2 linked regions of the Oryzias latipes genome follow. The protein of the gene in region 1 interacts with the protein of each later gene in a pairwise test. Links are inferred from orthologs where the notes say so. Each region holds a gene or a part of one and is shown on either strand. Other genes may lie near its edges.

What was found. The genes of interacting proteins can lie anywhere in the genome.
Region 2: the proteins of inositol polyphosphate 5-phosphatase K (region 1) and mad2l1bp interact in binary tests that used the Homo sapiens proteins (3 or more experiments, as listed by UniProt). The link is inferred for Oryzias latipes from reciprocal best matches to the Homo sapiens genes INPP5K and MAD2L1BP.

The regions. Positions count from the first base shown.
Region 1 is NC_019871.2:19,609,321-19,614,081, forward strand, and holds the start of inositol polyphosphate 5-phosphatase K, read right to left. Parts: upstream 3,250-4,761; 5' UTR 2,267-3,249; coding exon 2,034-2,266; intron 1,083-2,033; coding exon 978-1,082; intron 906-977; coding exon 797-905; intron 718-796; coding exon 601-717; intron 1-600. UniProt on the Homo sapiens protein: Inositol 5-phosphatase which acts on inositol 1,4,5-trisphosphate, inositol 1,3,4,5-tetrakisphosphate, phosphatidylinositol 4,5-bisphosphate and phosphatidylinositol 3,4,5-trisphosphate.
Region 2 is NC_019873.2:27,031,434-27,035,768, forward strand, and holds mad2l1bp (MAD2L1-binding protein), read right to left. Parts: upstream 2,895-4,335; 5' UTR 2,847-2,894; coding exon 2,546-2,846; intron 2,327-2,545; coding exon 2,055-2,326; intron 1,988-2,054; coding exon 1,466-1,987; 3' UTR 1,036-1,465; downstream 1-1,035. Other genes in the region: epoxide hydrolase 1, read left to right, coding at 607-732, 820-1,021; uncharacterized protein LOC101165914, read left to right, coding at 3,361-3,440, 3,643-3,706, 3,794-3,904, 4,018-4,134. UniProt on the Homo sapiens protein: May function to silence the spindle checkpoint and allow mitosis to proceed through anaphase by binding MAD2L1 after it has become dissociated from the MAD2L1-CDC20 complex.

The sequences.
Region 1 (4,761 bases):
TCCCAAATCTTCCCAATGATGCTCAAGGACTTAGGAGACGATAGATGAAAAACCCTTGGAGGAGTTTGGATTTGCATATGCAAGATGACGGCCTCTTTTCGAAGTCAAAGTCAACAAAACTTCAGTTGTGGTTGTACCCTTAAGGTGGCGGCGTGTGTGAAATTTCGTGAAAATTACTCAAACAAAACGGGGGGGGGGGGGGGGGGGGGGGGGAATATGACAAATCGCCTAATTTCATATTTTACCACAAAACGGCCACCAGGTCGTAGGTTCTGTTGCCATCCCATAATAATTGCAAAACTTCCCTTGGACATCCCCAATAAAAGGCACAAGACAAAGGAAAATCTTTTTTCTTTTGTCTTGTCTCCGTACAAATAAGAAAATATCACAAGGTTCAGGAGGAGAACGATCCGATTCTCCTTGTTGTTTTGTACCCTGCCTGCTGATCATCAACACGTCACGGGCCAAAGCGGAGTCCCTGATTGGTTGATGTGATGTGTATCTTTTGCAACAGCTCAGATATTTGACTTTTGTCATTAGTGAAGATTTAAATAACATTGTTTTGTTTAACACACGGTTGAGTGAAGAGTGAGTTCCCACCCAGTAACCAAAGATGCCGGTGCGCGTGTACGTGGCCCGTATGTCTCTGATGAACGGCACGTGCTCCAGTTTGGAGAAGAAGAGCAGCAGAAGGCCCTGCATTCTTATGGAAGACACCTGAAATGATAGAGAACCTGGATGGATCTGTTCCCGCTCACACCTGGAAGGCACCGTGCATGCGCCGGACCACCTGTACCTTCACACATGACCGCGGTGCCAAAGTGGACATGAACAGGTGACTCCAAGGGTCATCGAAGACCATATCCGACAAAAACCGAACTGGTCCAGAGTACACTTCCTGCAGGCTAAACAAAAACGTCACGAATGTCAGCCTGGTCTGATATTTAACAGAATGGTGGGGTCAGAGGTCACAATACCCGATGATGTAGAGGTCTGCAGGTTTTGATGAGTTCAGGTGGAGCAATGAGGTCACATCCTCAGGAGGATCTGCCGTGGCTACATTCCACGTCACCATGTGAAGCCTGAGAGGGAAGAAGATAAGGAATAGTGGTCACTTTCCAACCATAACCCCCTGGGAGATTCATGTTTCCCTGATCCAACACACCTGGTTCAGACCGTCACTTGAGAGCGACTCCTTCATTTAAATGTGTTGGAACAGGAAAACATGTAAAACAGAGCTGCCCAACCCTGGTCCTTAGGATGCCCCACCCTGCTTGGTTTCCCAAGTCTTCATACTGTCATGTACCTGGTATCTTCAGCCAATCAGAACTTTCCATCACCTGGCCCAGCCAATCAGCAGTAGGAAGAGCAGGAGAAAAACAAGCAGGGTGGCTGATCTGATGTAAACCTCCAAACCCCTCAAACTGTAAGGGGTTTGGAGGAAAATCTTTTAAAGTATTTCCAGTCTGACCTCACGCTGATCAGTTTAGGTTCTGTGGCTTCATTGTTCAGCTACTTAGCAATGTGGCCTTTGAAAGGCTCAAGCACTGAAAGCTCAAGTAGATCAAGAAATGAGAGAGCTAAAAGAGAACCAACAATTACCCCTAAAAAAGCATCCAATGTACAAAAAAAACGGAATCTCTAAAAAGAGCACACAAAATTTTACTTTAAAAACACTTTGGAAAGAGAGTCGGACTTAGAAGAACAGACAAAATGTGAGGAAAAGGGAACCAGAAACACAAAAACTTTGAACTTTAACCAAAGATAAATGCATCAGGATTCAGCATGAACGCTGCAACAACAGAACCTCTATAGTAATGATGGTCCAAGCAGGTCAGGCTGCTGCAGATAGTGAACATAAACTATTTCACCAAAGCATAGGCAGCTCAAAAAACTCTTCGGGAGGCTCTCGGCTACGACCAATCCAGTGGACAGTAAAAGTTCAGCAGACATTCAGCTCACAGAACTAGGAGAAGAAAACATCAGGCCTCTAAAAAACATGTCAAAAGTCAGAAGATTGATTTTCTCTCCACCTGAAGATGCGCTTTTTGGCCACCTTGGAGCAAGCAAGAAAGGCACTGTCCAGAGTCTCCACCATTTTCTCATGTAGCTCATTTTTTAGCTCCACGTCATCCATGCAGGTCATCAGCTGGCTGAGCCGGTGCCGTAGCGCCAGTCTGGTCCCGGTCGACTGCGTGGCATCGGAGGAGATGGTGTTGCTGCGAGAACGCCCTACAGAACCAAGGAGGCGGCTAATTTCATCCATTCTGATGCAAGATATGCAGAACAACCAGATGGGATGGGCTGACCGGTTCTGGACCAAACCAGTAGAAGAGTAAAAGGAGTCTGGAGAGCAGCAAGTCTTTTCAGAATCAAACCACCGAGCAGACTGAGGAAAACTCCAGGACTCAACCGTTGGGACCAATTAGGAAACGGGTTTGTTTGTTCCACAGGTGGTCTTTGTGTATTCATACCAGCTCTAATCTCATTGCAAAATGTCTCAACAATATGCCCATTAAAATCTGAGTAAAGTCAAATGTAAAAACCCAAGTCCGTCCCTCCAAAAGCGGCTGAGCGCTCAGCTGCTCCATCGTCAGATTAAGCAGTGAAATATTTTAATTTTTAAACTCCAAATCCACAGCAGGTATGCGATGTTAAGCAACATAATCCTCCTGGATGAAAGCCGTCATCTTTACTGATATGAGCTCTGCAGTGTGGATGCAGGAACAACAGCAACTTTTCAGAACCAGCAGAACTGCTCAGGAACCAACACGAATTCTAGTGAGGATTGGCTAAACAAAAAAATAAATTGCATCACTCCACATTGATGAAGACAAAGATAAACACAGAACCAAGTTAAAAAAAAAGAAAAAGGTTAAATATAAACAAAGAGACAAACGTCTGTGACTCTCCTGTGACTCACAGAACTGATGCAGACATCAGGAACTATTCAGAGAACAAATTTCCACTTTCCAGCAAAAACAGACTTTTTTTCAGTGATCACTGGGACTTAAAAAAAAAACCCTAATCCTATGCAACCTCTTGTGCTGAAAGATTTATTTGGTCCGGTGTCTTATAGACCAGAGCCGTTGCCTGTATATGAGAAATGGACTGAGACACCCCTCCCCTCTGGTGTTCCAAACAGGAAGTACCCGTTGGCTCCAAGAAGCCAAACCCATAAACGGAACGTATATATACAGGGGTTGACATAGCCCAGAAATTTGCACTGGCCCACAGGGCCAGTAGTTTTTGAAAGTTACTGGCCCGACACCGCGCACAGCGAGACCCGCCGCTCCGCAGGTGCTTGTAACTATAGGGGGGTCCGGGGGCATGCCCCCGGAAAATTTTAATATGGTGCAATTTGGTGCATTCTGGTGACATCTAACACTAATTTATACACTTTTCAATGACTGAAAATAGAGCATTATCAAACTTAAATCTGCTCTAGTCTGTTTCAGATGTTTTGAAGAGAGCACTGGAGTGAAGTAGTTAACACTAGTTAAGAAGTTTTCATGCTGCTTCTAATCACTGCTATTTCACATTTGTTCCTAATCAATAGTTAAGAAGTTTTATTGACTTTTTTGCTCTGACTGCCTTAAGGTTCTGCTTTTTGTTACTGTTGCAAAGTTACATTTACTTTTTAGTTACTTTAGTTGCTTAATTAAATTAAATAATTGAAAAATTAAATAAAATTAAATTACTGAGATCATTCAGCTAACTAGAAATACTTATTGCTTACAGTGTTGTAAAGAAAACCAAAATGAAGTAGTTTGACATTATACTGCCTTTGAGTCTGAGATTCAGGTATTTGGAGTTGCCTTTGATTCTTTGACATTCAGCTTAAAGCTTAGTGGATACAGTTTCATCTTCAATGCATTCATTAAATATCTTGCTGTCCATACTACTAATTCCACCCACTCCATCTAACATATTCCTATCTATTCCTGCCATGTCTTCCACATCTCTGACATGCTTCAGTCTCTCTTCAGTGACGGTGTTGGATTTATGATCATCGCGGTGAAAAACCACCAGGGGGCGCGCGCTGATATGTTTGTCAGTTTAAAGTGTGGGTGACATGGCCTATTTTAATAAGCCAAAATATAGTAAATAGTCTCTATTTCATGTTGCGATTGTATTTAATATTTTTCGAAAAAGAATAGCGAAAAACGCGATATAAACAACGAGGACGGCCGCCGGCTTCACGCATTCCGCCGACTTCGCGCCGCCATGTTTGTGACGTAACGAAAGGCAGACAACATGGCTAGCACCGATAGCAAAGCACAGAGTGATGCTACCTATTAGCGATTTATCATCAGATGAACAGAAAGATGAAGAGGAAAGTTGCGGAGATTATCATGATGATGAGTCACTTTTGCAACCGTATCGATTCGAAGCCTTTTGCGAAAGTGAGGAGGATATAGCAGAAAGTAGTAGGTCTAGTGATGCCGATGACGATAGCCAGCATGAAGATTCGGCTAGACTCCAGTAAGTCTAAAAAATGTATAAAATTAAATTACTCCACTTACCCTAAAATATACTCAAAATGTCCCCTTTTGGCCTAATCTAAACAAAGGTAAACACTGGTTTTCAACCCAATTTACAAAATAAATGTCACAAAATAAAAGTTTCCCAGATATTACTACTCTTTAGTTAACAAAGTCACTGTATACCATTAACAACTGTGGAACATTAACAGTTTTACCTGTTTGAACCAGTTTGAAACCTTTTCTCGTGCGCTCGCGCTCACACACACACACACAC
Region 2 (4,335 bases), on another chromosome or scaffold:
ATTCAGCGACTCCTTCAAATGCAGCCGAGTACGTCCTTCTCTTTCACGATTTTAAGGATTGGTCTGGTGTGTCCTTCTACACTGCATATATCCCAAGATGCATTGCGGCCCAACTTGGACCTGTCCTGACAACAATGGCGGACCGTGAAGCGGGACCCAGAGTTGGAGATAATTACACCTTTTTAATAATTACACCTCCAAGATTAAAAGTTGGATCAAATAAGCAGGGAATTTTTTTAAACTCCATGCCTCCTCTCTTCTCCTCTCCTGTGCGGGACTCACGGTTGCTAGGCGACAGGACATACGACACGAACATATTAGGAAAGTGGGTGGGGTTAACAAAAAACCTGTTAAGGAAATCAAAAAAAGATTGCTTTTTGCAGATTCTTCCAACAATGACAGACAACCAGAATTTCAAGTGGTTGCCATGGAGATAAAACCAATAGAAAAGCTGCAGTTAATTTCTTTTTTTTAATGAATTTGTCGTGTGCTTCTCTAACCAGTGTGGCAAGGGGAGAATTGGGGGGCGGGTTGCAGTAGCTCAGGCTTCACGTGTAAAGGCTCATTTACTGGGGTTAATTTTTCAGTGAACATCCTTTTTTACAGGAAGTACAGCTTGGATGACCTTCTGACCAACGTCATGATCTACTGGACCACCGGCTCAATCGTTTCCTCCATGCGCTTCTACAAGGAGAACTTCAAGAGCGACCCCAACAGCAGAATCGATGGCCTGTATGCAAACACACACACACAAACTTTTACTCTCCAATCCTGACATTCTTTTTCAAAGCTGTTGATCCTCGTTATTCTGTGTTGTAGAACCGGGATTTTCGTGCCCACCGGTGTGGCGGCGTTTCCCAACGAGCTGATGCACTGTCCCAAATCCTGGGCTCAGATCAGATATCGGAACATCCAGTCCTACACGCTCATGCCGAGCGGCGGTCACTTTGCCGCCTTCGAAGAGCCCCAGCTGCTCGCTAAAGACATCATCCAGTTTGTGAAGAAAGTGGAGAAGCTGTAAATGCAGAGCAGGAGTCATGATGCTTTTGGTTTTAATTGTAATTCATCATTCTTCACACAAATATGCTTTAATCTTCTCTGCACCTGGTTCGCTCTCCTTGATGCTAGTTAAAAATCATTTTCAGTGAATAACGGATGTTAACTGTGTCCCGAGATATGAATAACAAAAGCAACGACTTTTGTCAAACCGTTCAAGTCTTGTTCATTAAAATGTATTGCACAAGCGGCGATGTCTGGTGTTTTCTGGAAATACCTGCATATTCTGTTCCCCACACAAAGACAAAACATTCTTTTGTATGCCAAAGGTAAAAATAATAATCAACACACATGCACATGAATGTCATGATCTTAATGCGAAAAAAAACAACCATTTTACTAAAATAAACATCCACTCGTTTATATTCCACACAGACACACATTCTGATGATCCAAATCCCTTTTAGTGTTAGTTGCTGAAGCCCTTAATAGTCACAGGTGCCTGGAACCAAACATAATCCTGCCAGTCGGCCTTTTCCCTCTGCTTCTCACAGACGTTGGGATCTGTGGCCAAAGCGATGATCTGGTTTTTGACCCGGGTGGGAATCTTGAATTGTAATTTGGGGCGAAACCAGTCCACGCCGCAATCCCTGTGAGCCAGGGCTAAAACGGTGGTGGGCATCAAGCGAACGGGTCTGGAGTCGGACAGGAGGTCGGCGACGAAGAGCGTGCGGAAGAGGAGCCTCAGGCAGGAGGACGCTCGCAGACCCTGCTCCCCGCCGACCAGCAGCAGGTCCTCCATGTTGATCTCGTAGAGCTCCTTCGGCAGGACGAGGGAACCGCCCATCATCAGTAAGACGCGCGGGACTCTGCTGAGGGAGAACAGCACTTCCAGCTGGTGGAGCACCTCCTCCAGCTCCTGAAGGGTCTGCTGACACTTGTAATCCACGTCTGCGGAGTGGACCTTCCTTGGTCTCACCACATCTTTATCCTGAAAAGAAACACCACAATTTGAATTTTCTATAAGAGCCACCGACGGCTGGAAATGTGCTTCTCACCTCCACGTCTCGCTGCTGCTGCCGCTTCTGGGAGAACACGAGCTGCTCGTACGTCATGGGGAGCTGCTGCCGCTGGTAGAGAACGCATTTGAGGATCTCGCTGACAAAACGGTAGCTGCCATCTTGGGTCACGGGGCCGGGGAAGATCACGCTCACGCAGCCTTCTTCCTTTGCTCTCCTCACCACCTCAGCATCCCTGTCCTGCGTGTTTGAGTGGCGTTCACTGGCAGACTCCTGACAGGAAGTGGCCTCCTCCTCTTCCTGTTGCTCTTCTGTAAACAGTCCATATCTGTTGCCAACATCACAGTAACCTGGTAGACATATTAACTAATTGACATATAGATTTATGTAAAGAAATCGATGGCTAAAATATAAAGGTTTATTTTAAAGCCAAATTATGCTAATTATTTAGCAGGAAGACCACATAACAGTCAGAATGAGATAAACGTGTTTCCTTTTAAAATTCTTCTAAACTCTTTCGACATTGTTACCTTGATGAATTTCTGTGTTTTCTTTGTCCTCTTCGCGCTGTTCAGAAGAGACATCGGTTCCGTTTGGGACCGTCGCTGACAGCTTCTCGTCAGTCGGTTGAGGAGAGTTTGAATCGTCAGAAAGACATTGTAAACTCAGGTCTAAGTACGTTAAACTCGGTTCTTCTCGTGAACTAATTTCTTTTTCGGAGGGAAAAGACAGTCGCCGCTTCACCCTGCTGTCTTCGCTGTTTGCGGCGGATTGATTTTCGGAGACTTCGGGATCTAGAGTCGTTTTTAGCACCAAACAAGGTTCCGCCATGTTTTTTTGAAAGTCGGCGCCTGCTCGGCTCTACCCAACTGCACCATGGGAAATGGTTGAAGTGGTGCGTTCAAATTTTTCGGAAAAAAATAGTTTAAAATGTTTTCTGTCTTGTTTACAAACGAATAATATAAATAATAATCATCATAGGATTTTGTATTGTATGTTTGACTGGCATACTGTAAGACATTAACTCTAACATGTAAACACATCATACTTTGACCACCAAAACAAAACTACAGAAAAATCATACCATTCAGAACAATATTTTATAAACTAAAGTACCACATATTTTATAACATTTCTTTTGCTAATGACAGATTTTTAAGTCGGGAAATCACACTGCAAATGCCACACTAAACAATGCTCAGTGCACCCCCTAGTGCCTGATTTGTGTAGTGCATCCAGTAAAAGTAGCCTTTCTTCCTCAGGTGTGATAATTAGTCGACGTTCACGTGGAAGAAGATTAATTCATTACCTTGAAGAAAACAGAAAGACAAGGGTGACGACCTGAATGTTTCATTCCTTTGAGTGGTTTTATTTTATCATGTCTTCCGTGCGCGTGGCTGTTCGAGTCCGCCCTTTGAATAAAAGGTAGATTTAAGTTTGCTTAAAAATTGGCACTACTTCTTCTTGCTCATGATGATTATTTGTTTTTTAACATTTTGTTTTTGAATATATATTTTTTGAGCTCTTCTAATGATAACTTTGTCAAAAAAAAGCTTTTTAACCCAACTGTGGTTGTTGTTGATGTTCTTAAAAATGTTTAGTTGATTGTTTTTGGCTTTTTACACAGGGAACAGCAATTATCATCCAAGAAAACGGTTCACATTAGGGGGAACACAATATCCATTCAGAAGGTATGGAATCACAAAATGATGCGAGAACAGTCTGTAGAAGTGAACAAGGTCAACAATGATCTGAGTTTTTGTCTGTTTTTATGTTAGTCTTCACCTGTGCGAGGGGAAAAGGTGAAAGACAGAGAGAAAACATTCTCATTTGACTTTGCTTTTGACTCCATGGACACAGAAAGCTCCACGTTTGCATCCCAGCAGAAGGTACATGTTTATTCTATATGATGGAAGATCTTCTGATCTTTATTTTAATTTTATTTTTTACCAAAGTTTGTGCTTGCAGCATATTTGTTCTTGATGCATTTTGTTTTGCTCAGATTTTCCAGGAATTGGGTTGTGGTGTGTTGAAAGCTGCATTTGAAGGGTTCAACGCCTGCATGTTTGCTTATGGGCAAACAGGCTCAGGGAAATCCCACACTATGATGGGTCTGAAAGTGAGTTTTTCCAGTATTTTCAGTACTTTGTGGCCTGCCCTGTGCAATGTGTTCATGTTTAAATATATATGGTATTAAGCAATAATAAGATGAATGTATATAATTTGAGAACATCAAGTTTTAAATTAAATAATTTAGTTTTTACTTAAAAAAACTAATGAATATTAACAGTTAGTGGGCTTCTTCCTCATGCTTCTTACA